2 linked regions of the Pelodiscus sinensis genome follow. The main gene of each other region encodes a partner of the protein of the gene in region 2 in a complex. Links are inferred from orthologs where the notes say so. Each region holds a gene or a part of one and is shown on either strand. Other genes may lie near its edges. The genes, in order: KCNJ8 and ABCC9.

Region 1 (14,676 bases), about 150 kb from region 2:
ACTTTTGACTATGTCTTCAGGATAAGTGAGAAGAGTCCTTTGAAATACTAGAGGACCAAAAGTCATGGAGAGAATCTAAGATGTTTTATAGCACATGCAAAATCAGGGAGATTTTTCCTGTGGAAAGAGAAAACTCACCTTAAAGAAGGTGACTTCCAGAAATGAGGCTGCTGAATTCTCACAGGCGCTAATAAAAATTTGATGAGTGTTTTTAAAACCAGGGGCTTTTTAAAACTTTTCATTCTTTGAAGCCACCACCAAAGTGGTGTGTTTTTGTGAGTTTTGTTTTGGTTTTTTGGGCATTTCATTTTAAAGAATTCAGGTATGAAGGAGTTAATGTCGCATTTAATGGAATTAGTGAAAGGGTTAATATGGTGATGAATATTCAGATGCATGCAGAGTAAAGTGTATGGCTGTAACTTCTGATATTCCAATTTCCTTTAAAAATTATTCATTTTTAAAAGAATCCACATTTGTATGGTGTAAACTCAGTCCTTGAAGAAACTGTGGTTTAGCAAGCTTAGTATCTGAACACAGAAGTAAAAGCCAGGGAACTCCTCATTGTAATAATCCCAAGTCTGTCACTGATCCCATTTCAGTTTTGGCAACAATTTTCCTGTCTGGAAAATGGGTAGGATTACAATATTTATCTACCACAGAGTGGTGTGGTTAATTGTTATGCAGCACTTTGAAAACCTATATGCTCTAAGTCTACGTCTACACTGCACAATAGTTATTCCAAAATAGCTTAATTCAAAATAGAACATCTACACTGCAGGGAAATCTCAAACTTAGTCTGAGGCAGGTTTCCCTAATGCAGACATGCTATCTCGATTTAGAGCCCCAGAAGGAATAACTTAGAATGGTCCTGATGAGGGGCTATTTTGAAATAGCAAAAGAGCTATTTCGGAATAGGTATTATTCTTCGTAGAATGAGGTTTACAGAAGTCGGAATAAGCCATCTGTTATTTTGAAATTATTTCAAAATAATGGAATTGCTGTGTAGATGCTTGCATAGTTATTTTGGAATAACTGCTGTTATTCTGAAATAACTTTGCTGTGTAGACACACCCTAAGTGTTGATTACAATTTTCAAATCCAGGTGTCTCTCAACACCACATTGTAGTTACATAGAAAGCTTTTAGTTAGACGTCTAATATGGGTTTAAGAGCCACACTTTAGGCACACCAATATGAAAATGTTGGCTATTAATTATTATTACTACAGGCAGTCCCCGGGTTATGTACAAGATAGGGACTGTAGGTTTGTTCTTAAGTTGAATCTGTATGTAAGTCGGAACTGGCGTCCAGATTCAGCCGCTGCTGTAACTGATCAGTTTCAACTGCGGCTGAATCTGGATGCCAGTTCTGACTTACATACAGATTCAACTTAAGAACCCCAGGCGTCCCCAAGTCAGCTGCTGCTGAAACTGATTAGCGGCTGATTCCAGGAAGCCGGGGGCAGAGCAACTCTGCCTTGGGCTTACTCGCTGGTCAGTTTCAGCAGCGGCTGACTTGGGGACACCTGGGGCAGAGCAGCTGGGGTGCTGCTGGGTTGCTCCAGTAGCGCCGAGGAGCGGCGCTGCGGGACCAACCCAGCAGCGCCCCAGCTGCTCTACCCCAGGCGTCGTGGGCAGAAAAGCCTGGTCTGCTGGGGGGGAGGGGGCACTAGCTGCGCCCCCGCCCCCCAGCAGACCAGGGAGACGCGGAGCAAAGCCACGGAGGACGCCCGCAGCAGGACAGTCCATGCGTGCCGTGGCTGTTCCGCTGCAGGCAGCCTCCGAGGCTTTGCTCCCCGTCTACCTGGTCTGCTGGTCAGACCAGGGAGACGCAGAGCAAAGCCACGGAGGACGCCCACAGCGGGACAGCCCAGGAGCTCCGCAGCTGTCCTGCTGCGGGCGTCCTCCGCAGCTTTGCTCCGCTTCTCCCTGGTCTGACCAGCAGACCAAGGAGACGGGGAGCAGCTTTTCTCGCCCCAGAGAACACAGGCGGCAGGACCACGGCTCATCTGGGCGTCCCGCCGCTCCCGTCCTCCGGGGCGAGAAAAGTCCCGTTCGTAACTGCGGATCCGACATAAGTCGGATCCACGTAACTCGGGGACTGCCTGTATATAAAGTGAAAATATCAAATATTCCTTTTAGATCAAACATTCCTTTCAGGGGAGGGATAGCTCAGTGGTTTGAGCATTGGCCTGTTAAACCTAGGACTGTGAGTTCAATCCTTGAGCAGGCCATTTAGGAATATAGGACAAAATCTGTTAGGAATGGTATTTGGTTCTGCTGTGAAGGCAGGGTCTGGACTCAATGACCTTTCAAGGTTCCTTCCAGTTCTAGGAGATAGGTGTCTCCATTTATTTCAAGATCAGGTAATCAGCTTTTCTCTATTCTTAAAAAATTAGTGACAGTATTTTTGTTCCATACCTTTCTTGGAACAGGTAGCCAGTTTTAATAGATCGGAATCATTTACTGTCAATTACTTTTCATGACTAGAAGACAGATGGTTGTCTGCCTTTTGGCCTGAAACACCACAGCTACTGATACCAAATGACATGTGTTCTTTGTCATATGCTGAAGCAAAAAGATATGCTAATCCTTCATTCACTTCTGGGAGTTATAATAAACCTTCACAATTCCCTTGCAGTAAAATGTAGTGACCTTACCAGAGCTGTTTCAATAGGGTTTTGTAGCTGCCAGGATTAGGTGGTGGCTTACCAGGGTAATGCCAGTGGATGGAATAGAGAGCAGGCCAGAATCTTGGAGTGGACACACTCCTTTTGCACCATGTCGGCAGCAGAAAGTGGCCATAAAACTGCTTGAAGCAGACAGTTAATCATTCTCCCAGTGTAAGGGACTACTGGGGACATGTCTGGCAGCATGAGGCCTGGCTTAATGCTGTTGTGCTCTGTAACCCTCCCCCCCGCTCCTCCTTCCCCGCAGCTGGCGTCAGGCTGAGTATCGTGCGTAGTCCTCACAAAAACCGAATACTGAGTCAGTGTGAACTTTAGTGCATGTGCATTCCATGCCATGGAATGTCCTCTGGGAAGGGGATATCTTGGGGTAGCAGCCAGCAAGAAAGTCTCATAGGAGAGGCGTCCATTAGAGCTGTGCTGCTGCTTTGAAGCTGAAAGGCAAGGCGAGGCCTCACAGACCAAATACGGAAAGCTCAGTAACCAACGGAGCAGCTCTCCTGAGAGGAGCAGGTTTGTGGCCTGCCATTCCTTGAGGAATACAATGGAGATGCCATAAAAAAGGAGCCTGATGCAGAGGCACTCTCAGCCCTAATTGCTTGTTTCAGAAACTCTGGCTTGCAGCCAGTTCCTAAAAAATAAATAAAAAATCAATTAATTTAGTCCAACTTGCATGGGCAACACTTCCACTTAGGAAAGCAGCATAAAACAAGAGAAGGGGTGGAGAACCTGGCTCTTCGTAGGCCAGAAAGACCACCTCTTGGCATTTTGTACATGCAGCTATGGCATTTGCATCACCAAGACAGAGCGGGAGATAAAACTGGATGTTCAGATATTATGAGTTTAATTCTACACTACCTGCCCCTTTTGTGGTCCCTATAGCAGTGCAAAGTGTGTGCAAAATGCAATCATTCTGATTCAGTAGCATAGTTCAACTGCCTTGCACTGGTGCAAACGACAGAGCAGTGGTGAATCAGACAGTTTTTGGTCCAAGAGTGAGTCCTATAAACAAGGATCTCATTGCACATATGACAGAATGGTCTCATTGCTTACCCATCCCTCCTATTAATGTTTACTCTTTGGAGTCTGCAAACATACTGTGTATATATGGAATTCCCTCCTGATCAGTCATTTGGCTGGTGTTCTGGAAAGTGTGGGTAGTAAAAGGAAAATAACCCAAACCTGTGGCCCTTATCATAATACCGAGCTAGTTTTTTACACAGCAGTTCTTGTTGTCTGAGATAAACACTGATGCAGAATGTCACAGCACTTGTCCTATAATTGAAATAATAGTCACTAATAAAGATTCAGATAAATGATTTTGGGTACTTCCATGTTTTGGCTTCCCAACTAAAGACATCTAAAAGAGCCTAATATCCAGATGCTTTCCATTTTCTGGAAATCAAGCCTCTTAAGTTGGACAAGCCAGCAAATTCAGTGGTTATCTCTGGACGTTTGGACTGATTTTCCGAAGCTAAAACATAGGTCTTGAGCTAAGCCATTTCGGGTACGTCTAAACTACATGGCACCGTCGACGGAGCCATGTAGATTTGTTTGTTTGGTAAAGTCAAATGAAGCCATGATTTAAATGATCGCGGCTTCATTTAAATTTACATGGCTGCTGCGCTGAGCCGACAAACAGCTGATCGGCTGTTTGTCCGCTCAGCGCGCTAGTCTGGACGCCCCCCTGCCAACATCAAAGCCCTTTGTCGGCAGCCCTGGTAAACCTCATCCCACGAGGAATAACGGGGCTGCCGACAAAGGGCTTTGATGTCGGCAGGGGAGCGTCCAGACTAGCGCGCTGAGCGGACAAACAGCTGATCAGCTGTTTGTCGGCTCAGCGCGGCAGCCATGTAAATTTAAATGAGGCCGCGATCATTTAAATCGCGGCTTCATTTGACTTTGCCTATGTGTCTAATCTACATGCCTCTGCCGACAGAGGCATGTAGTCTAGACACAGCCTTCTTGTTGTATCATGGTGTGAAATTAATTTCATGTTCAAGATGGTGCCAATTGATGTAGACAGAACTAAACCATCTACAACACTCACCTACGGGCTACTTTGTTGAAGCAGGCTCTATCTTTACTGGCATGGAAAGTTATCAACAGACTGTAGAGACTTATGAAAAATTGCAGGGTCTTTGTACTGTCAGATTGTGGCGATCCTATAAAGCATCAAAGAATTCTGAGGTGGGGTTTTGGGGGATGGTGGTGGGGGGGCAAAGGAGGATGGAACTGTAGAATTTGGTGGAACCTAGTGGAGAACATTAAACTTCTCAGTTGTCTATGCAGTACAGTACAATTCAAGTAAACCAAAGCCAAGTTTTACATCATTGCTATTCCGTATACCTCCTATTGTACTTTACCTGACACATGTCACGCATGGTGTCCAGTCAGTACTGCCTATACAGTTTTCTGTGCTACCATTCATGTCACCATGGGCAAAAGCCACCAGCCACCATATCATGGCAAAGAGCAACCAGCTGCACAGGAAGGACATGGTAAAGATCACCAGCGTGTGGCGCCACTTCAGGTCCACCAAGGTGGTGAAGATGTCTTGCAAGAAGCGCCCCTGCTCCCGGATGTTCTTGTGTGCCAAATTGCACGCCCCGCTCTTGGCGATGAAACGAGCTTTGCGGGGCTGGTCCCGGATGCGTGGCTTGCGAAGGTTCTCAGCCGCAATCCGTGCCAGCACATATTCTTCAGGGATAATACTCTTCCTTGCCAACATCTTCCTGCCACCATAGTCCACCTAGCAGGACACAAGTGCTTTTCCACTGGTCTCCCTTTTGTCCCTTGTCTGTCCTCCTACATTCTGAGGAAAGGAAAAATAAGATCTTGTTTGCCATCTCTTTTCCATTTTTCCCAGACAATAAAGGGATAGGCATGCAAAGTAGATGGCCCCCGTGGGAACAGCTGTTGAGTTACATGTCACTGAAATAGTATTCTACAGTGCTATTATATGCTCATTTTAGACTGTGATTGTTAAAAAGCAGTTAGGGCCAAATCCTAAAACAAATTATAAGTGATTTATCTTAGACATTGCTAGAGAGCAAAGCCACTGAAACGCCTGATAGCTGTGGACCAAAGTAAACAATGTTCCAGATCCTACTGAGATACTTAACCATGCAAGCAACTGCATGTAAGTGATTACTCCATGGAATGGGAGTACTCAGGCAAGTCAGTCTTACTTGCATGCTTACCAATTTGCAGAATTTTGTTTAACAAGGGCTGCCTGAGCCTTTCTAAATAGCTCTACTGGAGCCTGTAAGACAACTGGTATGCTACTCACTAACATGAATAAGAAGGGCTTGCACAGTGTAGTTCCAACCCATCATGTATTTCACATTAAAACAGAGACGTGTGGGAACGTACTACATCCCCTCGCTGGGAAAGTATTAACCACCGGTTGTGCTAGGGAGCAAGTTACTTTAAAAGGAGGGATTTAGCCGTCTTGTCTCCTTCCAAATCATAACAATGAAAAATAAAACAAGTGTTTTATTCTGCAGGAAATATGCGTGAAAGAAAGAAAGAAAGAAAGAAAGAAAGAAAGAAAGAAAGAAAGAAAGAAAGAAAGAGGCAGACAGGCTGGTTGGACAGGGGAAAGCAAAACTCCAGTTCTTTTTTGTTTGGTTTTTGCTCTGATGTTCCTGATGAATACCATGCCCTGCTTAATACATGTGCAAATTCACAGCAACCACAACATCCCCCCCGCCGCACCCTCTCCCCGCACTTTCTAGCCCCCGCAGACTGCGAGTCCCACTGCCCCCTTTTTTGGAGCGGGCCCTTTCATTGGCACGGGAGAGCGGCGCCCGCGGGCACCTGGGCGGCTCTGTGCCGGGGAGGGGCGGCGAGGCGGGCTCGCAGGGGCAGCGCGGGGCCCCAGAAGAGAAGCTGGCACTTACCAGACGCCGGAGCAGGACGGGCGCGCTAGGTCCCGCGCCGGGCGCTGCCTGGCCGCATCCCAGCCGGACCCCGCACCGGGACGGCGGCGGCAGTAGCCCTGCAGTCCGGCCGCCGGGGACAGGCCGGTGCCGGCTCGGTGCTGCAGCGCAGGACAAGCTCCAGAAGCGGATCTCTCGCTCCCTGCCCGCCCCCGCCAGGCGGTTTCCCCAGTGATGCTCGACTGCCCCTGCGCTGGCGCAAGGAGCTGTGATTTGTGACGGCGGAAGTGCGGGAGTAAAGGGGAGGGTGCTGGAGCGGTGTGTGGGGCAGGGCAGAGCAAGGGGGGCAGATCACAGCCCCTCTCCCACGCTCCAAACACTTGCAAACAGCCCCCAACTTTGGTTCCCCCCCACCCCAAAGGGGCAGAACAGGGGGCTGTTCTGGAGCCCAAGCCTCTACAGGCGCACAGGGGGTGGTGGTGGTGGTGGGGGGGGGGGGGATTTCCTTCTCCAAGTGTAAAGGTCAGTAGGTAACAGGGCCCTGATCCCACAGTCCCTATGCAGTCAAAGCATGCTACCCAAGAGGGAGATTTGCCAGTGTAAAGACTATAGGGATTGCCCCTAAATGCTCTTCATATAAGAAGACGATAACCTGGTCAGCCTCAGTCCCATTTGCAGAGGCCACCAAGGAGTCAAAATACCGTGAAAAGTTGCACTGCTCTAGATCAAGTTGAAAAAGTTGCCCCAAGAACGCTAGAGAGCCTTCAGTTTCTATTGAAAGTCAATGGGACTTCACTTTTTAAGTGCCCTAATCATACCTGACATGTAGAATAGTGATAGAAATGTAATGGATTGTTCACTTTCAGTCCTATTTCAATTCTAATCATACCTGAAATTCTATTTACAGACCGTAGGTTACTTTGGCACCAAATCTTTTAAACCTAGAATGAAAAAGTTGACTAAGAGAGCTTTAACATCTCTGGCAAATCATTTTAAACATTAAGAATGAAATAGAATTATTTAAATTAGATTTTAGATGAATAGTGTTGTTGTCTTCCTTATCGAATAGAAAGATTTCTGTTGAACCTAGCTTAGCAACCAAAAAACTGAAAAATACAAACCCCTTTGTCAATCCTATATTTGTATAGTCTCATTAATATTGATTATGTTTCAGTTTTAATAATGTCTCACTTTTTGGAAGCCCTGATCAAGTGTTTTTATTTCTGTGGCAAAGCACTTAAAATATAACCAAATTATTGAATTACACATGAGTATATTTCAGGCTTGATCCAAAGCCTGCTGAAGAGGATTGGAGACTTTTTTTGAGCTTTGCAGAACTAGGGCTCATTTGAAAGATCAGGCTCGTTAGCAGAGGCGCTCATTTCCTTTCTTCTCAAAAGAGTTTTAGACTTGCCCACAGCCTCACTACCTGATGGCAGCATAACTGTGAAATATGTTTCAAGCTGGCTGGGCAGGGGGTGGTGGTAAACTGAGGTACTACTTTCTTCTCCCTACTGCAAAATCTGCTACTGAGTTTGATGAGATAACTGACGTGTACAATTAAACCTGTGAATAAGTGTTTGCAGGAGCAAGGCCAAAATCTGTCAAGGTTTCTGCTGCCTCTACGCCACTGACTTCATTATTTTGCTACTGCAATAGAAGACCTTTTTACAGCTCCAGAACTCCCATTAATTTGAATTGGTGCTGAATGGGCCTGTTCTCACAGTTAGCTGGTGCAGCAGGTACTGAGTGGTAGGAGATGGGCGTAGGAGAAAGTATTCATGGACAGGAATACTTAAAGCAAACAATGAAATAAACAAGATTCTCTCCCTTCAAGTTAAAAGCCATAATTGTGGCAGTTTCTCAGATTCTCATGTTTAATGGAAGCTTTCTTTCAAGGAAATTTGACATCCCCTCCCCCACACCTACACATAGAAAGAATAAACAGAACATCAGCTTCATGAAGTATCTAAATTTAGATTTTAAGGAAGCAAAGTGTGCTCTGCACTACTCTGCATTTTGCCTGATAAACTCCTTTGTGCCCATAGTGCTTGCAACTCTGTGTGTGTGTGTGTGTGTGTGTGTGTGTGTGTGATGCCCCAAAATCGGCAAAAACTTATGCACATGCTTAACTTTAAGCGGATAAATAAACCCAGTTGGTACTACTCAGCTACTTAAAATTAAGCATATATAGTAATTTTTGCAGGAGCAGAGGCTACTGGAAACCAAGTTCTTCAGAGTTCTAATCTCAGTTCTACCACTGAGTCATTATAAGACGGAGGCAAGTCACTTAACTTCTCAGATCCCTTTCTGTAGAATGGGAATATTATATTGCCTCCATAAGCAGAGTCTGAATTAATTCCACAGACAGCTAGCTGGGAGGGGGAGAGCCTTTAGGAGCAAACTCTATTACATGAACACATAATATTGGGCTAGATGAATCTTTGGTCTGACCCAGTATGGCTGTTTTTATGTTCTTATGGGGCTAGTAGAATGCTTCTAACTGAGGTTTCGGTAAGGTTTAGTAAATTGTTATTCATCCTGGTTATTTAATTTTAGAGGCTCACTACAGGCACATGAGTTGCTACGAAGTGTTCAAATGCAGAAAGCTACTCGTGTGTGTGATTTAATGTGTGCAGAAGCAAGGCCATAGTGTGCAGTATAGGGCTTTGAGACCCCAACAACAAGAGAGATAGGTGAAGCTGGTGCTAGCAGTTTGGAGGGGTGCTTCTTTAGTATGCTCTTTGGAAAGAGCCCTGAGCTGGACAGCTCTGAACCTCACTGCTGCGTAATCGATGCTATTAGCTCATGAGTTAAACAATGTATTTTAAACTAGCTGGTAATTTTTAAAAGATTCCATAAAATGCTTGCAGCAGATTGGGGGGAAGGAAGGCATGGGGGGGGGGGCATTCTTCCCTTCCCCAGACGTAACTATATGAAAGTTACAAGAAAAAATCTCTTATAACTGAAGGATAGCACTGTACATGTCTCAGGATTAGTGTATGATTTCCCAGTGTGTGATTATCGGCAAGATTATTTCTGAAATACTGATAGACGGCATGTGGGGAATGACATGCAAAGAGATATATATTTATATCAGTGAGAGATAGTACTGAGAGTATGATCTACTCATAGTAGATCAGTGACATTACTTGCCATTTTCTAAGAATACAAGTTGCCCCATTTACAGCTCTCGCACTGTTATGCTCCCTTCTTTTCCCTCAGATCAGGTCTTTATAACAAACAGCCCTAATCTAATCTCATTCCAGTGCTTCATGTTAGATGCCCAGTTAGAATTACAAATCTCAGCATCATTCATAGCAGTTTTATAATAGGATTAGTTCAAATGTGGAATATCTTCCCCTCCCCCTGCTCTTCAACTCTGTGGAAACAGAGTTACCACAATCAATTATAAGAATTTTGTGGAAGGGAGATTATACTTCATGCTTTTGGAGAATCTCAAATTATTAGAAATCAGGATGAGAACTAATCTGGGAATATGTAGAGGGTTTACACCTTCCTCTGAAGCATCTGGCACTAGCATTCATCTGCATCAAGATACTGAAGTAAGTGGACCTTGGATCTGATCCAGTTTTGCTGATCCTTTGTTCCTAATCCTGAATTGGAGTGCACCCTTATTAAAATGCATACAAGTGTTCCCACAAAAGACAGCTGGGCTGTGTCTACACTGGCATGAATTTCCGGAAATGCTTAAAACGGAATACTATTCCGTTTTCAGTTTTTCCGGAAAAGGAGCATCTACATTGGGGCTACGTCTAGACTGGCCACATAAAACGGAATAGGCATGCAAAGCAGGCAAGTCAGAATAGGGAAATCCGCGGGGGATTTAAATATCCCCCCGCGGGATTTAAATAAACATGGCCGCCGCTTTTTTTCCGGCTTGGGGAAAAGCCGGAAAAGAGCGTCTAGACTGGCGCGATCCTCCAGAATAAAGCCCTTTTCTGGAGGATCTCTTATTCCTACTTGCAAGTAAACTTTATTCTGGCTTTATTCTGGAGGATCGCGCCAGTCTAGACGCTGTTTTCCAGCTTTTCCCCAAGCCGGAAAAAAAGCGGCGGCCATGTTTATTTAAATCCCGCGGGGGGATATTTAAATCTCCCGCGGATTTCCCTATTCTGACTTGCCTGCTTTGCATGCCTATTCCGTCTTATGTGGCCAGTCTAGACGTAGCCTGGAAGGCTGCTTTTCTGGAAAAGCCCTTTTTCCGGAAAAGCGTCTGTGGCCAAAGTAGACACGCTTTTCCGGAAAAGAGCCCCGATCGCCATTTTCGCGATCGGGGCTTTTTTCTGGAAAAGACTACTGGGCTGTCTCCACTGGCCCTTTTCCGGAACAGTGTTCCAGAATAAGGACTTATGCCTGAGTGGGAGCAGAATAGTTTTTCCGGAATAGCGGCTGATTTTGTACAGTAGAGCATCGTTGCTTTTCCGGAAATTCAAGGGCCAGTGTAGACAGCTCGCAGCTTATTCCGGAAAAGCGGCTGATTTTCCGGAATAAGTGGCCCAGTGTAGACACAGCCCTGCCGTTCTTGCCACACTGTATGGGTGCCACCCCGTATAGCAGTACAGAAAATCAAACTGGTCTTGTGGGAAACTGCTTGGGAAATGCACTCCACAGTACACTTACTTTGCAGGCTTTCACTGATATCATGTGTGCAGTCTGAGTCTTGTGTGAAGACACCCTGCTAATAAAAAACCATATTCTGGTACCATGAAGTCTTAACGGAACGGGCAGTAGATTCATCACACATGCAAGAACAGAAACTGAAAACTATGTGCCTCAGTTATCCTGCACGAGCTTCCTTCTGTCTTATTCAGCAGCAGCAGCAGGAGGATAAAAATAGCTCTTATCATTAAAATCATGTGACTAGTATCAAGGCCCTTCATTCGAGCCAATGTAAGCTGCCAAAGCAAGTGTGTAAATGGACTGCTGTGTTTTGGCAACTTGAAGATTGTTCCTCATTAAAATGATCACAGAGTTTGAGACTTATGCAAGCTATGCAGTGCTGTGTCATGCTCTTTATATGTAGGCAGAGTTTCTTACTCCAGCCGTCTCTGCCTTTTACAGTTGTCTTATGCCATTGGCTTTCAATAGAGGGTTTTGTGGAATATATATACATACGCATACATATATATGTATAGCATGTGGGTGTGGGTGTGCACACATACCCACTGGCTGTGTCTAGACTGGCCAGTTTTTCCGGAAAATCAGCCGCTTTTCCGGAAAAACTTGCCAGCTGTCTACACTGGCCGCTTGAATTTCCGCAAGAGCACTGACGATCTCATGTAAGATTGTCAGTGTTCTTGCAGAAATACTATGCTGCTCCCATTCGGGCAAAAGCCCTCTTGCGCAAATCATTTACGCAAGAGGGCCAGTGTAGACAGCACAGTACTGTTTTGGGCAAAAAAGCCCCAATTGCTAAAATGGCGATCGGGGCTTTTTTGCGGAAAAGCGCGTCTAGATTGGCACGGACGCTTTTCCGCAAAAAGTGCTTTTGCGGAAAAGCATCCGTGCCAATCTAGATGCTCTGTTCCGAAAATGCTTTTAACGGAAAACTTTTCCATTAAAAGCATTTCCGGAAAATCATGCCAATCTAGACGCAGCCACTCAGTGGTCTTGGCATTGAATATGAAGAGAAATCCAATACTCCAGAAATCTTCCCCAGAGTACAAAGTATTCTGACTGGCACACCATGGCTGTGTCTACATTGGCACCCTTTTCCGGAAAAGGGATGCTAATGAGACCAGTCGGAATTGCAAATGCCGCGGAGGATTTAAATATCCCTCGCGGCATTTGCATGAACATGGCTGCCGCTTTTTTCTGGCTCGGGGTTTTGCCGGAGAAAAGCGCCAGTCTAGACGGGATCTTGCGGAAAATAAGCCCTTTTCCGGAAGATCCCTTATTCCTATTTGAAAGGGCTTATTTTCCGCAAAATTCCATCTAGACTGGCGCTTTTCTCCGGCAAAACCCCGAGCTGGAAAACCGGCAGCCATGTTCATGCAAATGCCGCGGGGGATATTTAAATCCCCCGCAGCATTTGCAATTCCGACTGGTCTCATTAGCATCCCTTTTCCGGAAAGGGGTGCCAATGTAGACACAGCCCATAAGTAGTTGGAACTCCTTGTTTTAAGAGAAAATGCTCTAGTTCTCTGTCTGGCTTCCCCTGTTTCTTTGGTAAATAGCAAATATACCTGGGTCTTTAATGCAATATAGCACCACAAAGGGGAAAATCCTACCTAACTCCACCGAAGGATCAGCTTTGGCTCTGAAACATGGGCATTCGAGAGCATTTGGAAAGTCATTTGTAATGCTAGTGTTATTGATGCTCCCACAGCGTCTCATATTCAGAGATTATGGGCCAAATTCAAGGTGCAGCTCAGCTCTGCTGAGTTAAATACTTGGGGAAGGATTGTGGGTTCTTTAAGGCAATTTATGCTACTTTTTTTGGAGAAAGTTCAGCTCCAGTATAGTACAGAGCGCCCTAAGGGTGTGTCTACATAGCAAAGTTATTTCGGAATGGCTATTATTCGGAAATACCTATGCGAGTGTCCACACAGCAATTCCGTTATTTCAAAATAATTTCAAAATAATGGACGGCTTATTTTGACTTCTGTAAACCTCATTCTATGAAGACTAATGCCTATTCTGAAATAGCTATTTCAAAATAAGGCATGTGTAGACGCTCCACTTCAGCTGTTTCGAAATAGAATGGCCCTGGTGAGGGGCTAAGTTATTCCTCCTGGGGCTCTAAATGGAGATAGCACGTCTACATTAAGGAAGCCCGCTTCAGACTAATTTTGAGGCTCCCTTGCAGTGTAGCTGTTCTATTTTAAAATAAGCTATTTTGGAGTAACTATTCCAGAATAGCTTATTCCGAAATAACTATGCAGTGTAGACATAGCCTAAGAGTCTACTTTGCAGCCAAGAATATAGGCGAATCAACAGTATGCCAGATAAATAATACACACACTCACTCCCATACACACCAAACTCTCTGACTACTGTAGAATGTCTACAGAGCCACTCTGGTCATTCTATATTGCTTGGGAAGCTCTTGTGGTGTTTTTCTGGGTGCAGGGCTGGCCCCCTCTGTACTGCTGGAAATGCTGCAAATTTACCAAGGTGGGACTAGGAATTGAACTCTATGTCTAGAGTGTTTATGACCTTCTAATTAATCTAGCAGAAGCAACAGCAACTGCTGTGCATAAAAATCACAAAGTTTCCATTTTGACACCTTGTTTTCAGTCACAGCTTTCTGAAATTTTCATCTTTCATGCTGAACTTTTCCATGTCCAAACAGGAATTTTAGTTGAAGTTTAAGCAAAAGGAATTCAGACATTGTCAAATGAGAAGATAATTGGGAAATTGCTTTTCTCATTACTCAACACTTCTTGCCACCTTTATATGAACAACTCTACAATTGAAACAGTTGGAATTTGAAAGCTGGAACCTGGCAAGAAAATAGCCTTCCGTAAGAGAAATGCCTTTGTGCTGGATACGATTTGTTTGATTGAGCTAGGAAGCTTTGAAGATCCTGTACAGAGCATGTAGGGTTTTAGATTTCAAAATGTATTTTGAAATGCCTCCTGCTTCATTATTTCATCTGGAGAGCCACTCTATGATCAGAGCAAGATCATTCATAATGCTATAGGCAACTTCAAAGTAGGAATAAGATCCTCCGGAAAAGGGCGCTTTTTCCGGAGAATCGGGGCCAGTGTAGACGCTCTTTTCCGGCTTTTCTAAAAGCCGGAAAAAAGCGGCGGACATTTTTATTTAAATGCCGCGGGGGATATTTAAATCCCCCGCGGATTTCCCTATTACGATAGCTGAAATTAACATGCCCCTTCCAGAAAAGGGGCCAGTGTAGACGTAGCCGCAGTCCCCGAGTTACACGGATCCGACTTATGTCGGATCCGCAGTTATGAACTGGGCTTTTCTCGCCCTGGAGGACTGGAGCGGCGGGACGCCCAGATGCGCTGCAGTCCCACCGCCCCCGTCCTCCGGGGCGACAAAAGCTGCTCCCCATCTCTCTGGTCTGCAGGGAGACCGGGAGCAAAGCCGCGGAGCATGCCCGCAGCGGGACAGCCTG
Region 2 (15,709 bases):
ACACCATTCCTACCCCTTGGCTAATAGCACTCCATGGACCCAACCTCCATGACTTGATCTCACTTCTCTTTAAACTCTGTTCTAGTTCTAGCCTTCACAGCCTCCTGCAGCAAGGAGTTCCAAAGGTTGACTATTTGCTTTGTGAAGAAGAACTTTCGCTTATTAGTTTGAAGCCTGCTACTCATTCATTTCATCTGGTGTCCTCTAGTCCTTCAATTATGGGAACTAATGAAGAACTTTTCTTTATGTACCCTCTCCATACCACTCATGCTTTTTTAGACCTCTATCATATCCCCCCTCAGTCTCCTGTTTTCTAAGCTGAAAAGTCCCAGTCTCTTTAGCCTCTCTTCATATGGGACCTGTTCCAAACCCCTGATCATTTTAGTTGCCCTCCCCTCTCCCAGCCTCTCTCTTCCCCTCTCCCACCTCCTTTTCCCAGTCTCCCCGAGTTCTGTTCAATAAAGAGAGTTTTCTATTTTTGAACACACGTATCCTTTATTTTGTACATCAAGAAGGGGGGCTAGGGAGGGGTAAGTGGAAGGAGGTGAGGGAGGAATGGGGTACGAGCCCCCGATGGGGAGGACAGGGGTGGCTCTGCGTGCTGCTCGGGATGGAAGCTCTCCTGCAGCCCCCCGATTGACCTCCTCCGGATGGCAGCCTGCGGCAAGTGCAGCCGGGCTTATGGCCGAGTGCTGTGATGTGCTGAGTGTGGGCACTCAGGGCACTCCAAGCGAGGACTGCTTTGCAAGCGGGGAACCCCTGAGAACTGTCTGTCCGGGGTGGGAGTCGGGTCCCTTTAAGCACAGCTCTCGGCTAGCCTGAGACAGCAGCTCCATGCTCTAAGCCCGAATCTGATGCCCTGCCGGCACTGCTTCCGGCCATCCTTAACCTCAGTTCAGGGTCCACTCACTGTGGACATGCTAGTTCGAATTAGCAAAATGCTAATTCGAACTAGTTTTTAAGTATGGATGCGCTAATTCGAATTAGCTTAGTTCGAATTAACTAATTCGAACTAAGTTAGTTTGAATTAGCGCTGTAGTGTAGACGTACCCTTAGATTGTTGTCCTGCACCATAGTAATCAATGTTCATTGTAAATAAACCAAACCTCCAGTTCTGAGCACTGCCACTTGTTTCAGATCTAGATTTGGATATGAATTTTACAGACTCAATCTATCTTTAATTCCAGCTGGACTGGTAGAAAATAAATGGCTGAACACACACAACAAGTGCCCTAATCTGCTCCTGGTTCTTCTAAGACTGTTTAGGACAGTGGTCCCCAACCTTTTGAGGTTGTTGGGCGCCAGGGGGCGTGGCCGTTCGCCCTCCGGGCGCCAGGGGGTTGGGACACTTGCGCGCCTGGGGGCGCCCCCCCCATAGCCGCATTCCCGGGGGCGGCCCCCCCATAGCCATGCGCCTGGGGCCCCCCCATAGCCACGCGCCCGGGGCCAGGGCCCCCCCATAGCCGCGTGCCCGGGGCCGCCGCCGCAAGCGCCGCGCGGCCGGGGCCGGCGCTTCCCCCCCCCCCGCAAGCGCCGTGCGCCGCGCGCCCGGGGCCGACGCTCCCCGCAAGCGCTGCGCCATGTGCCCGGGGCCAGGCCAGCCCCGATCACCTGGCGGGCGCATGCAAATGCCCCCGCGGGCGCCATGGCGCCTGCGGGCACCGTGTTGGGGACCACAGGTTTAGGAGGAGGTATCAAGTAATTTATTGTAACAGACTGACGCAGCCTTGTGTGCAATCATCTCATGAACTGGCTCACATACAGAAAATAGACCAAATGTATTTACTCAATGATCTCCAGACTGATTCTTACGCAGCAGGATAGTGTTTCAAAATGTAATGAAGAGTTGGTTCCCATTTTTCTGTTCACTCCCTTAGTGATGTGATAGTGTTGTCAATCCAACCCAGAATTATACTAACGGGACAAGATATAAAACAGAAGATCGTACTGACGAAAGTTCACTTATTTTTCCTTTACATTCCTTATAACCTTTGCATTATTATGTTGCAAATGATGTCAATCTCCCTAAAGTTGTATTACTAAATCTTAGATGACTGCCAACAGTTTGCTATGGAGCACAGTACAATTCACCCTATGTATCTCCTTCCCCATTTCTATTGCATGATAGGAAGAATTATTTTCTCCTCGCTCAATGGCTATGCTTGTTTTCTACTTGCTTATATTGAACAGTATCACATTAAGATGACTTGGAATTGTACCAGCTGTTCCATCATCCCATTCTCATCCTCTCCATATCTATATGAATCCCATAAAATATGGTCTGACTGATGGGACAAGATAAGTACATTCATTGATTCCAAACCAAAAGGGACAACTGGGATCATCTAGTTTAACCTCTAATGTAACACAGGCCATAGAAGTTCCTCCAAATAATTCCTAGAGCAGATCTTTTCAACAAAACATCCAATCTTTATTTTAAAATAGCCAGTGATGGAAAATCCCAAGACTTGGTAAATTGTCCCAATGATTAGTTCCTCTCACTGTTAATAATGTATGCCTTATTTCTCATCTAAATTTGCCTATCTTCAATTTCTAGCCATTGGATTGTGTTAACCATCTCTTCTAGACAGAGCCAGCCCAGGGTACGGGCTGACTGGGCTACCGTCCGGGGCGCCCCATTATAGAGGGCGCTGCGCGGGGCTTCCAGGCTGGGCAGGGGTGGCACCGCACATGCACCGCACACCCAGGAGTGTAGCCACACATGCATCGCACTCCCGGGGGTGGCACGAATGGCTCGGGCCGGCTCTGCTTCTAGATTGAAGAGCCTATTATCAAATATTTATTTCCCATGTAGGTATTTATAAACTGCAATTAAGTCATCCCTTAACTTTAACTTTGTTAAGATAAATCGATTCAAGGAGTTCAATCCATCATTATAAAGCTTGTTTTCTAACCTTTAATAATTCATGTAGCTCTTCTCTGAACCCGCTCCAATTTATCAACATCCTTCCTAAATTGTGGACACCAGAGCTGGATGCAATATTCCATCAGCAGTCACAGCAAGGCTAAGTACAGAGATAAAATAGTCTCTCTACTACTGCTTGATATTCCACAGCATTGCAGTGGGAGCTTGTGTTCATCTGATTATCCACCTAACCCACAGATCCTTTTCAGGACCCTGCTTTGAGGAAATAGTGTCCCATTCTGTCAGCATGGCCTTTGCTCTTTAGAAAGATTTACTGTAAAGCTGTAAAGATTTACATTTAGCTATATTAAAACACTTTCTGCACAATTTACCAGATGATCCGGATCGCTCAGATGCAGTGATCTCTCTGCTTCATTGTTTACCACTTGAGATAGGGGCATCTTTTTGCTCCAGTCTCTTTTCTACACACAAACTGCTCGGGGACCTTCTTGTGATCAAACACCATATGCAATTTATTTACCCTGTTGTCCCCAGCACCTTTACAAACTTGTGCATCTCTGTTTTGACAAGCACACAGTCCTGAGCTCACTCAGCTAAGGAGGAGAGAGGCAGAAGGTTTCTTCCTTCTGAAAGATCTCCTCTGACTCTCAAAAAACCTGTCAGACAAACAAAGAATCACTAACCCTGAGCATTTCCTTCCTCCTTTTCCTACTTTGTGAGCTAATTAGTTTTGCTCTCTTCATCTCATCCTAATCTGTCACTTAGGCACAGCTTTCTCCATCAGATTTACTTCAGGGCTAATTAATTCAGGATCCAGTGATCAGAATGCTAGTACAGTTGTTGATGACCAGAACTCCATCAAACCACTCTGTGATGCTTTGAGGCTCATCCAGGCCAGTAAGAAGTTCAATTACCACCTGCTTTGCAACTGCTTAATATCAGGGAGCTTCGTACCCTCTGCATTCTTAGGGTCACATGTTCCCCAATTTTAGTGTCATCTTTAAACTGTACTTGGAATACTTGAAAGATCCATGATTTCATTGATGCAGATAGTCTTGGCACCGAAGCAAATCACAACTTTTCCATGCCATCCTGTTTTGTGTGGTTCTTGTCCATGTCCTTTCATGAATCCTCCATAAAGGATCCACCCAATGTGCTAGAGGTCTTCCTCTTGTTCTTTTTACATCTCGTGGATACAAATGGAGTATACGTGCTGTCCATCTGTTGTCTCTCAGTCTCGCTAATGGTTAGCCCATCTCCTTTTCCGATCGTACATAACATGGATGATATCATTGACACCGCTTCTTGCGTGCAAAGGTCATTGGTGTTACAGAGATGGGCTTTTGCAGTGCTGGAAAGTTTGGAATCAACAAAAACACTGCGCAGACTCCCAAAGGCAATCCAACCCGACTTCCTCCTCCTGCACACCTCTGGGCCCCACTCTTTTTCCATCTGCAATGCTTGTCCAAGATATACATATTGATCCACCATCTTGATGGACTGTCCATCCAGCTGCATGATATACTCTGAATAACATGTGATGAAGCTAGTTTATGTTTAGCTAGAAGCCATCTTGTATAACAGAAACCATTTCAGCTTTTTGTCTTTGCACGTAGGCCAGAGTGAACTTTCTATCACCCCATGCGCCAGGCCAAGACAGATGTGCTATTGGAATGTGTTAATTAGGCTGGTTCAGAGAGGAGAGGTACTCCCTCGTACCTGTCCGCCATCATGTTGATAAGGCTTTGTTTTTCCTAGTCTAATTGATTATTTCTGTAATTAGATGCCCAGACGTCAGACTGTTTGGTTAAGGGTATAAAGATACTAGGATTGATTGTATTAGGTAGCCTTACTGGACCCGGCTTTGCTGAGACCACGTTTAGCTCACTTTGCTTTTATTGGCCAATAAAACTGTCTGTTTAGCCGCGTAAACTGAGTGAGGCGTTTGCTTCGACACATGTGTTTTCATCCACTTCATTTGTCCAGTATGGATGGTCAGGCCAATCTCCTTCACATTCTTACCAATGTCATTGAGTAGGATTTGCAATGTTTCAGGTTTTAATGCAATTAGGATGATGCTACCTCCTGCCGCCCACACCCTATAGCCAGTTTTCCTTGTAAGCTGGGCACTTGAGTGGCCGTTCCGGAGAAATTCAAATGCCACCCAGCTGATTAGCAGAGCACACACAGCTAGGTTTGTGTTTTTACTGGTGGTGCACATTCCCACATATCTTGGTGCACATAAAAATATTCCACACATGAATGGAAAAAATCCTCATGTGGATGGAAACGATTAGAGGGAATATTGCCTATAGCTACTCCAGTCCTCTTTGGTGTTGCTCCTCCCAGGACTGCCCAATGGAATCCCTCCATGCTGAAAGACTTCCCATAACATGGAGGGAAAGTGTGGGTTTTATGAGGTGAAAGGGGATGGGAAAATGGTTCCCATCTCCACAGGAGATGGGATAAGAACAGAGCATCTGGACCCTAGTTTGTCAGGGAGTTTTATGACCTCAGATGGACATGGCATAGCATGGAAACCCCTTTCAGGAATGAGGAGGTTCCATGACTAATTAGTGTTGGTGGAAATTTGGTAGTGGGATTCCACTGAAGATTGAACTAATTGTCGTTGCAAATGAAGTAGAGGGTAGCAGCTCTGAGGTTTTCAGCCTGAGTGCAGATAGTCCCAGCATTGTGACTTCATGAAAAGCTCCCATTGGACCTGTTCATTTTCACATGTTAGTCAACATAGCTTAACTGACTTCAGCAAAATTATGCTGATTTACATCATCTGATGATCTGGATCATTGACTTCAATAAGACAATATCAGGCCTCTATATGGTTAACTTTGTTTTGTTAAAAAAGCAAGAAAATGGTACAAGATGGTTTGTGTGAAGAAAGATAAGACCTCAATAAAGTCTCTTAAGATCTCCTAGTTAATACTGTCTGTTTGAAGAAGAAGCCACAACTCATGGAAATACAAAACCAATGCATGACCTTTTGGACACTATGCTGTTGACGTTTAGGACTGCTGCATGCCAACAAATTTCTACATTTCCAATAAAGGAAATTCCCTTAAGTTTTAGTGGTTCAACCTTCCTTAACTTTATTCTGTAATAAAATATGACATTATTGAAATTCTAAACAAGTTGTAAAGTTACAGTCATGAGAACTGTAGAGTACAAGGTTTGGCTGTGTTCTGCCAGTTCTAATGCAAAGCTGACACGTAATCTCAATTGAATTCTTGTAATTGTTTCCATTTTTCATCATAGTCATACAGGCTGTGTGACTTTTCAGTAACAGCAGTGGGCACTTGTAGTATTATCTTATGTTGTTCATTTTATCTTCATGCCTTTAAAAACCAAAATGATACAGAATAAAATTTTAAGAAGTGCTAATGTGGTCCAGCAGACTAAATCTGAAAATAGAACTTAAGATACTAAATAATGTAGGTAAACTTGAAAATTTTCCTCGTGATTTTGTAACTACTTTTTACAGTAACTGGAACAAATTCAGCTTGGTTTTGTCTCTGAAAGGTTATATTTCCAGATAAAAGGTTAAATTAGACTAGACGGGGCTATGGACTTACTAGTGTAAAAAGACGACATTAAGATTACATGTTCCTATTCTGAATATTGTCGAAGCAGTCTAAAAGATAATATATAAATATAGCAGAGATGAAAAAAGCAATGTCAGCAATGACACAGATGCTTTAAAAGATACTCAATAGTTGCATTTGGAGTAGTTTAGATTTAATAGGATAAAAAAAGGACTGTAATGCATTCTATTGTGGATAAACATTCTTATGCTCAGAGGACATGAGTGATTTAAAAACTTTTAACTGTTCTAACATTTATAACTGGAAAAAGTTGGAATATTAAAGGAACAGCTCTCATGCTAAAAATCAAATATGTTCTTGCCTAGCACCCTTAGATTTTAAAATAAATTTAAAGAGCTAATTTATTTTTCAGAATTTATAGTTTGTTTATTGTTTATTTACATATCTATGGTCTTGGATACTGAAAAATGATTACTCAATATCACTGCTGTTTACAATGAATAGTTCTGTGGCACCTTAGAAACTTACAAAAATATATATAGTATCATGGGCTTTCATGGGTAAAACCCACTTCTTCAGATGAGTTGGAGTGGAAATAACAGAATCCAAGATATATATAGCAGCAAAAAAAGTACCTGTTACTTTTAGGACCCGTGTTAAAGAAGCTAATTAAGAGGTCTGGAGGTGTCCCATTCATAGCTTTTGATGTGAAAATGCAGATGTTAAAGGCAGGGAAAATTGGCTTTAACCACTTAATGTCTTTATGAAAGCCCAGAGTAACAGACTACATCTAGACTGCAAGTTTCTTTTGCAATAAGTTTTTCTGGAAGAGATCTTCTGGAAAAGCTTATTTCAAAAGAGAGCATCCATGCAGCAAAAGCACAATGAAAAAGCAGTGTGCTTTTTTGAAAGATAGTATCCACATTTATTGGACGCTATCTTACATTTAAGTTGTGATTAGTATGGACGGAGTGGCCACCAGGGCACCTGTGTTATTTCCTGAAGGCCTCTTCTTTATAAAGAACTCCCTCTTCCGTGTCCACGCACACCTTTTTCTGAAAAAGCTTTTTCAGAAAAAGGCTTCTTCCTCATAGAAAGAAGTTTACCGCCATCAGAAAAACCTCTCCATTCTTTCAACTTTCTGTAAAGCAGTGTGGATGAAAGTACTGTTTTTCCAGAAAAATGGCTGTTTTTTCGGAAAAACACTGCAGTGTAGACACTCCCACGGTGTCAGATTTGTAGATGAATTACCATCCTGCAGTCTCTGTAATTGTGTGGTGAAATTCCTTTGTAGAAAAATGTTTACTACACAGTTTTCTGCTGTCTTATTTGTTTTCATTAATCCTTTGTCGCAGCGACAGTCGGGTTTGGTCAATATACATGGCCGAGGGGTATTGCTTACACTTGATGGCATATATCACATTAGAGGATGTTCAGTTGAATGAGCCCCTTATGTTATAGCTTATGTGGTTAGATCCTGTGATGGTGTTGTTTGCATAGATATGTGGACAGAATTGGCAAAGGAATTTGTTGCATGGGTAGGCAACTAGAATTCATCTACAAATTTGACACTGTTACCCTGAGCTTGAATAAAGACATTAACTTGGGCTGTCCTCATTCCCAGGGCAAAAGTAAAAGGCTTTAGAACTTAGACCTATGTCCACTCTTCTGCCAGTATCTAAAGAAGTCCACAGTGGTGTATATTACTCTAGCTTCCCTCCTACTTTAACCTTCATCTCCTTCCAGCACTTGAGCATATAATTTATATCTGCATAGACACTCTTCTGTGGCCATGTCTACACAGCAGCGTTATTTCAGAATAACTGATGTTATTTCTAAATAACATAGTCTGTGTCTACACAGCAAGAGTTATTTCGACATAATGTCAAAATAATGTCTCACTGGAGTGTTTCTTATTCCAATTCCTGTAACCCTCATTGAGTAAGGGAAATTGGATGAAGAGTGCTTTAACTTGGACTTCCTGCTGTGTAGACAGTGCCAAAAATCTAAATAAGCTATTTCACCTTAAACTACGTAATTGACATAGTTCAAATTACGTAGCTTATTTTGGCTTTAGCACTGCTGTGTAGATGTGACCTTTGTGACTGGAGCTGGGAGAAGCGGTGTCAGTGAGTAAGGAGTGGAAAACTTTGCAGCAAGGGAGGTTTAAGTTGGACATTAGGAAAAACTTCCTGTCCGGGTGGTTAAACACTGGAATCCATTGCCTGGGAGTTTGTAGACTCTCCAGCTTGGAGATATTTAAGAGGAGGGTAGATGAACATCTGTCAGGGATGGTCTAGATGGCGCAAGGGAGGTGAGGGCAGGGGACTGGATTTGATAGCCTCTTGAGGTCCCTTCCAGTCCTTGTATTTATGATTCTATGAACTGAACACCATTTGGTTCACCAGCTCGGACTTTGGCCCATTAACTGGAGTCAGGGTGGGAGCTTACACCTGGGTACAGTGCACTGTTAGTCCTAGCTCGTGTTGATCACTGCTGGGGAAGTGAGGGGAATCCCGCCAAATTCCACTCCCTTTGGGGGATGCCACAGCGAGTGCGATACGGCTCTGCTCTGTGCGCTCCAACCCGGGAGCAGCTCCTTTAGCTGCCCTCCGGACTGCTGCCCCGTGTCGCCCTGCAGGAGGGAGGGGAGCTGGCTGGGGGCCCGGGGCTGGGGCACAAACGGACTGTAGCATTGCTCATTACAATTAAAAGGGGAGGGGGGGTCTGCGCGTCTCACCCGCCCCCTTGGCTCCTCGCTGCCCCCAGCAGCAGCGCAGCAGCAGCAGCAGCAGCATTCCGCTCGCTTTGCTGGGTCTGTCTCTTCCCCGCTGCTGCTCCCTGGGCTGCTCCTTACCGACTCCCTGGCAGACTGCAGTAGTAAATACCTGGCCTCCCAAAGATTAATCCCCAGGAGCCAGACGCCTGGCAACACTCCCACCTTACCTCCGGGTAAGTCCCTTCCGCTGGGGGAAAGGGTGGCCAGAGAGGGGCGACTCCGATTGGGTGTGCTTGGAGATCAGGGAATCTGCCCACAAGAGATGGGAAAATGGCAGCTTTTTTTTTTCTTCTTCTTCAGAACAGTATTACATAAGGCAGTTTTACCATGCCTGCCCCTAAAAATAGCCCATTCCTCTAGGCGGCTGGGTGGTACTGTTTTCTGAGCCCAGCTCCCTCCCCCATCCTAAATTCCACACGTGGGACAGGATTGGAAACACACGTGTTTTAAAATGCCCCACAGATAAGAAAAGAGCTCAGATCATTCCCCCTGCCTGAATGATGTGCCTCCGTGTGGGAGAGTGTTCTGATACAGAGCTTATTACGGTGGTACATTCAGGCATGGGGGTGGGAGAGCCTTGAATTGAAGTCCAGAGCATGTTTCTGTAGATTGCTGTGTATGATAATAACACAACAATTCCAGCACTGCTTTGAAACCAGCCCCCCATCCCTGAGTATAAAACAAGTAGCACAGGCTTTGACAGTGCCTCAGAGCAGAACAATTTACCAGAGCTGGACAGGAAATGGCTTTCCCATCCCACAACACTTTGAGATAGCAAAATATTTTCCCATCCCAAACCGGGACAAAAAGTTAAATGTTGGAAATTTTCACACCTGGAAAAAAAAATTAGGAACAGAATGTGGGTCGGGTCAAGCAAAATATTTTGTTTCAACAAATTGGAAATGTTTCTTTGCCATCCTGACTGTTAAAAAATTCCCCCCTAATAATGAGTTTACATTTCAAAACAAACCATTTCATATTAGAAAGCTGTAATTTTTTAAAATTTAAAAATGCCAAATCAAAATATTTTGACCATTTTGGAACTTTTTTCAAAGTTTTTTCAAGTTGCAAATTTTGGTAAAATTGACGCGTCCCATCTAAATTGAAAATGTTTTCCATCTAAGTTGAGAACAAGTGTAACCACACCTATTGCACCAAAATATCTCCGACCATAATGAATGCTGGCAGCACTGCAAGATCCTGGATCTTGCATCAAGATTCAGGTGGCTCTTTCTAAAATTTGGCTCCAAACACTACAGTCTAAATAGAAAATAAAGGTAGTTGCTTTTGCTTTGATGAAAAAGTCTGAACCCTGATGCATCCCACTTGATAACATTGGGGGAAAAATACATATCTGGTAGCTGGATACTGCTATTTTAAACATCTATATTCTCATTTTACTGTCTAAATAGAAAACAAATATTCCTGGTACAAAATAATCCAGATACTGTAGTAAATGGGCACAGCTGCACCACAAAAACCTATTCCTGGTACTTGTACAGGTAGTTTTTCTTTTTTTGTCCCAAATCTAAAAATTCTACCCATTTTTTATAGAGGGACTAGATTTACTCTGTATTTTAATAATCTTACTTGGGAGCTCTAAACCAAAATGTGGTAGTATCCGAGTAGATCCAGTTTTTCCCATATCTTTATGATGATGTTCTAAATTGTAGTCTCACATGCGGAGCTATATTCTTTACTAAGAAAAGATTACATTTAATCATATTGCCTAATACTGTTTTCCAAAGCTGCATCACGCATGCCCTTTTGACATTTGGCCATCTAGGGGTATATTGATTATTTTAGAATAATCACCTGATGATCATCTGTGCAGTATCTTGCAACCCCTTTGTATCTTAGCACTTTAGCCCTGGAAAATGAAAATAAAAACACTTCAAGATTGTTTTTTTTTAAGCTCCTGGGATTGGAGCTTACGGGGTCTAAAATTGGTGTCTTTTGCTTGCTTGTCTCTTCTCAGTTTCCTGCCCTCTGGAGTGTGTGAGAAAGATGAGAAAAAGTTTGCTCACTTTGGAAACTCGATAGGAGGCAGCAGCTGATCTTCCCATCACCAGCCTAAAAATAATCCACTCTAGGGTTTGGAGCTGCTTCACAAAGTGGAGGAGAATCCTGCCATCGGAATGATATTGATCACGTAGCACAACCAACGAAAAACTGGGTTTGATGTTTGTTAGTGTATATATAAAGGTAAGTGACAGCGTGTGATCTAACATTCAGCAAAGAAAATGGGCATGCAGCAACATCCCCCACTATTTTCTCCCACTAACCTCTTTCTTCCCCTAATGTCTGTGGAGAAAGACTCTTGCGTTTTCTTTAGGATTACAGGGCAAATCTGTTTAACTTTTCCTTCTCAAACCAATATACTTGGACTTAAATGTTCCCAGCTGCTGATGTTTCTTTATTTTTCATAGGGTTATGATTCTTTTTAAATGAGTTTTACAATTGTCCCATCCTAGTGTCTGAAGTCTAAATGTCAACTTGTTTCACAGCAGACGGCATACCGTGCTAGCATTTGAGACTACAAGTTGTTTATTAAGAAGCTTCTAAAAAAAGAAGAAAGCAGGAGTCAAGACAATTCTATCTGAGAAACAGCTGCAAATATTAATACTTTGACAGTTTTATGTTTAACTCAGTTTCAGCTATAATCCTATATTTTCCTGTACATTCATTAATATATTAATAAATGTATTTTCTGTGCATGTGGGGCCTGATCCAAAACCCCTTGAATCTTTCCATTTACTTTGAATCAGGCTCTTGGTATAAATTGCTAAGTGCTTTGAAAACAGTAAAGTAGGTAGAGTAATTAATTTATCACATCAGGGCCCAACAGCATCTAGATAGTCGATATCTAGCTAGCAAATATATTTAAATTAATTGCACCTGGTTGAAATAATAATTAGAAAAATATAATATATTGGATAATTTTTGGTAAAATAAATAAACGATAAGAACTTTACTTGTAGTCTCAGCAGAACTGATAACAGACAACGGAAATTCTGAATAGCTCAGATTATGTTACGCAGAGTTAGGCAGCATTGGGGGGAAAGTATTTCAAACAAAACAAAGTTTATGTTAGGAAAGGAAAAGGATTTTGTGAAATATTGAGCTCTCTGCACATTGATCCTATGTACACTGAAATCAATGGGAAAACTCAAGATCAGGTTGACAGTTACACCCATGAAAACCAATTGATTTAAAGATTTGCTTTTCTTTGTTAGAAATCACTGTAGACTTTTCTTCTGCTATTCCATCACCTTCATATTGAGAAAGCTCATAAATACAATCTAAGTTCTCCCTTTTTATAATGAATCAGCTCGCTAGCAGAATCAAATATTGAGTTACTTTCATAAACATCTGCCTGTTTAATCTACTCATCTGGCATGCATAATAAAAAAAAAGAAAATGTACATCACATGCAAGGAAGAAAACAGGTTAAAACAAACTGAAAAAAGCAATTAATTCCCTGTGATATCATAGAATCATAGAATCATAGAATAATAGGACTGGAAGGGACCTCGAAAGGTCATCGAGTCCAGCCCCCCGCCCTCAAGGCAGGACCAAGCTCCGTCTACACCATCCCTGACAGATGTCTATCTAACCTGTTCTTAAATATCTCCAGAGAGGGAGATTCCACCACCTCCCTTGGCAATTTATTCCAATATTTGACCACCCTGACAGTTAGGAATTTTTTCCTAATGTCTAATCTAAACCTCCCCTGCTGCACTTTAAGCCCATTACTCCTTGTCCTGTCCTCAGTAACCAAGAGGAACAAATTTTCTCCTTCCTCCTTGTGACACCCTTTTAGATATTTGAAAACCGCTATCATGTCCCCCCTTAATATTCTTTTTTCCAAACTAAACAAGCCCAGTTCATGAAGCCTGGCTTCATAGGTCATGTTCTCTAAACCTTTAATCATTCTTGTCGCTCTTCTCTGTACCCTTTCCAATTTCTCCACATCTTTCTTGAAATGTGGCGCCCAGAACTGGACACAGTACTCCAGCTGAGGCCTAACTAGTGCAGAGTAGAGTGGCAGAATGACTTCACGAGTTTTGCTTACAACACCTGTTGATACAACCTAGAATCATATTTGCTTTTTTTGCAACAGCATCACACTGTTGACTCATATTCAACTTGTGGTCCACTATGACCCCTAGATCCCTTTCCGCCATGCTCCTTCCTAGACAGTCGCTTCCCATCTTGTATGTATGGAACTGATTGTTCCTTCCTAAGTGGAGCACTTTGCATTTCTCTTTATTAAACCTCATCCTGTTTACCTCTGACCATTTCTCTAACTTGCTAAGGTCATTTTGAATTATGTCCCTATCCTCCAAAGAAGTTGCAACCCCACCCAGTTTGGTATCATCTGCAAACTTAATAAGCGTACTCTCTATCCCAATATCTACATCATTGATGAAGATATTGAACAGTACGGGTCCCAAAACAGACCCTTGAGGAACTCCACTTGTTATCCCTTTCCAGCAGGATTTAGCACCGTTAACAACAACTCTCTGACTACGGTTATCCAGCCAATTATGCACCCACCTTATCGTGGCCCTATCTAAGTTATATTTGCCTAGTTTATCAATAAGAATATAATGCGAGACTGTATCAAATGCCTTACTAAAGTCTAGGTATATGACATCCACCGCTTCTCCCTTATCCACAAGGCTCGTTATCCTATCAAAGAAAGCTATCAGATTAGTTTGGCATGACTTGTTCTTCACAAACCCATGCTGGCTATTCCCTATCACTTTATTACCTTCCAAGTGTTTGCATATGATTTCCTTAATTACCTGCTCCATTATCTTCCCTGGGACAGACATTAAACTGACGGGTCTGTAGTTTCCTGGGTTGTTCTTATTCCCCTTTTTATAGATGGGCACAATATTTGCCCTTATGTTTTGATCCTGGCATGAAAACATATTGGCTATTTTGTTAAAGATCAAAAGAAATATACATTTTGGCTATGTCTACACTGCAGACTTATGCCTGCAGAGTATGCTAACGAAGCACTCATTAGTATTTGTTTTTCTGTCACTTGCATATTCTTTGCTCGAGGCTTTTTGCGCAAGAGGTTTTTGCACAAAAACAAGCAGCGTAGATGGGGCTGTTTTGCGCAAAAAACCCCTTTTGTGCAAGATCCTTATGCCTCAAAAAAGGAGGTATACAGATCTTGTACAAAAGGGATTTTTTGCACAAAACAGACCCATCTACACTGTTTGCTTTTGCGCAAAACTTCATGCACAGAAAGCCTCAGGCAGAGAATATGCAAATGACAGCGTGACAAATGCTAATAAGTGCTTCATTAGCATACTCTCTGCCGGCAAAAGCCTGCAGTGTAGACGTAGCCTTTGACATAGAAGTTCAAAGGATTCATGCTCCAAGGGACAAGGAGCACTTTAGACCCACATTTTACACCCTTTTCTTAATAGTTACAAGAACATAAGAACAGCCGTACTGGGTCAGACCAAAGGTCCATCTAGCCCAGTATCCTGTCTACCGACAGTGGCCAGCACCAGGTGCCCCAGAGAGGGTGGACCGAAGACAATGATCAAGCGATTTGTCTCCTGCCATCCCTCTCCAGCCTCTGACAGACAGAGGCCAAAGATACCATTTTATCCCCTGGCTAATAGCCTTTTATGGACCTAACCTCCATGAAATTATCTAGCTTCTCTTTAAACTCTATTATAGTCCTAGCCTTCACAGCCTCCTCTGGCAAGGAGTTCCACAGGTTGACTACACGCTGTGTGAAGAAGAACTTTCTTTTATTAGTAAAATAACCAGTTTGCAAGTGCCTTGCAGTTTAAAAAGAACAGATCCAGTTAAAGTAAGACTTGTGAGTATGGAGAACTATATTCAACATTTATGTGCCACTTTAAAAGAAATGCCCCCCTTTAAAAAGTTTTAGATTCAATAAAATATTGTATAAAGTGATGTCCATTTAGAACTCCCAGGACATTTGCACTCATCTTGGTTTGATTTGTGGAGATTCAAATATTAACCACCATTTCTTCAATGTCACCTTCACAATACCTTATGAAAAGGGTATCTAATTGTCTGAGGGACAGAGTCACAACGAGGCCTCTCCCCTGAATCCAGACTGAGATGATGGGGTGAGCAACCATAAAAGAAGGCGCTGGACTGGGAGAGAACTAATCCCGAGATGAAGACATAAAGAGGTGCCAGGGTGGTTACTGAGCCTATGGTAGGTCTTGAGAATCAATATTCAATGATTCTTCAATGGAGCCTGTTTTCAGAGTCACAAAATTTATTCCTTGGTACGTTACAACGTTTAGGATAAGAGTGACATGTTCATTAGTATGTCTTTGTAATGAACTGACTTTTCTTCCCCGTCAATCTTCTTCTCATCTATGTCAGCCACTTAATTCTGAATCACATTTGTAGGAATTTCTGTTAACTACAATACTCTCAAGTTTTGTTCCTCCATCCAAAAGCAGAGGCCCC

Evidence for each region.
Region 1: the proteins of ABCC9 (region 2) and KCNJ8 are in contact, whole or in part, in a cryo-EM structure (PDB 7MIT), measured with the Rattus norvegicus proteins. The link is inferred for Pelodiscus sinensis from reciprocal best matches to the Homo sapiens genes ABCC9 and KCNJ8. Residues at the interface, in XP_038963045.1 of Rattus norvegicus: Phe5, Ile10, Tyr13, Asn14, Ile15, Val19, Asn22, Cys24, Phe25, Ala28, Leu29, Val32, Val35, Phe36, Phe39, Phe42, Pro43, Ile44, Phe46, Ile47, Gly48, Trp49, Gly50, Ser51, Lys55, Gln57, Ile58, Asn129, Phe130, Lys132; in NP_058795.3 of Rattus norvegicus: Met1, Leu2, Lys5, Ile7, Ile8, Pro9, Glu11, Tyr12, Val13, Leu14, Ala15, Arg16, Ile17, Ala19, Glu20, Asn21, Leu22, Leu45, Ala46, His47, Lys48, Asn49, Gly54, Arg55, Phe56, Leu57, Asp59, Ile60, Thr62, Thr63.

Annotation. Positions count from the first base shown.
Region 1 is NC_134711.1:118,267,459-118,282,134, reverse strand, and holds the start of KCNJ8 (ATP-sensitive inward rectifier potassium channel 8), read right to left. Parts: upstream 6,871-14,676; 5' UTR 6,591-6,870; intron 5,501-6,590; 5' UTR 5,417-5,500; coding exon 5,052-5,416; intron 1-5,051. UniProt on the Homo sapiens protein: Inward rectifier potassium channels are characterized by a greater tendency to allow potassium to flow into the cell rather than out of it.
Region 2 is NC_134711.1:118,121,009-118,136,717, forward strand, and holds the start of ABCC9 (ATP-binding cassette sub-family C member 9), read left to right. Parts: upstream 1-9,232; 5' UTR 9,233-9,399; intron 9,400-11,204; 5' UTR 11,205-11,407; coding exon 11,408-11,431; intron 11,432-15,709. UniProt on the Homo sapiens protein: Subunit of ATP-sensitive potassium channels (KATP). Can form cardiac and smooth muscle-type KATP channels with KCNJ11. KCNJ11 forms the channel pore while ABCC9 is required for activation and regulation.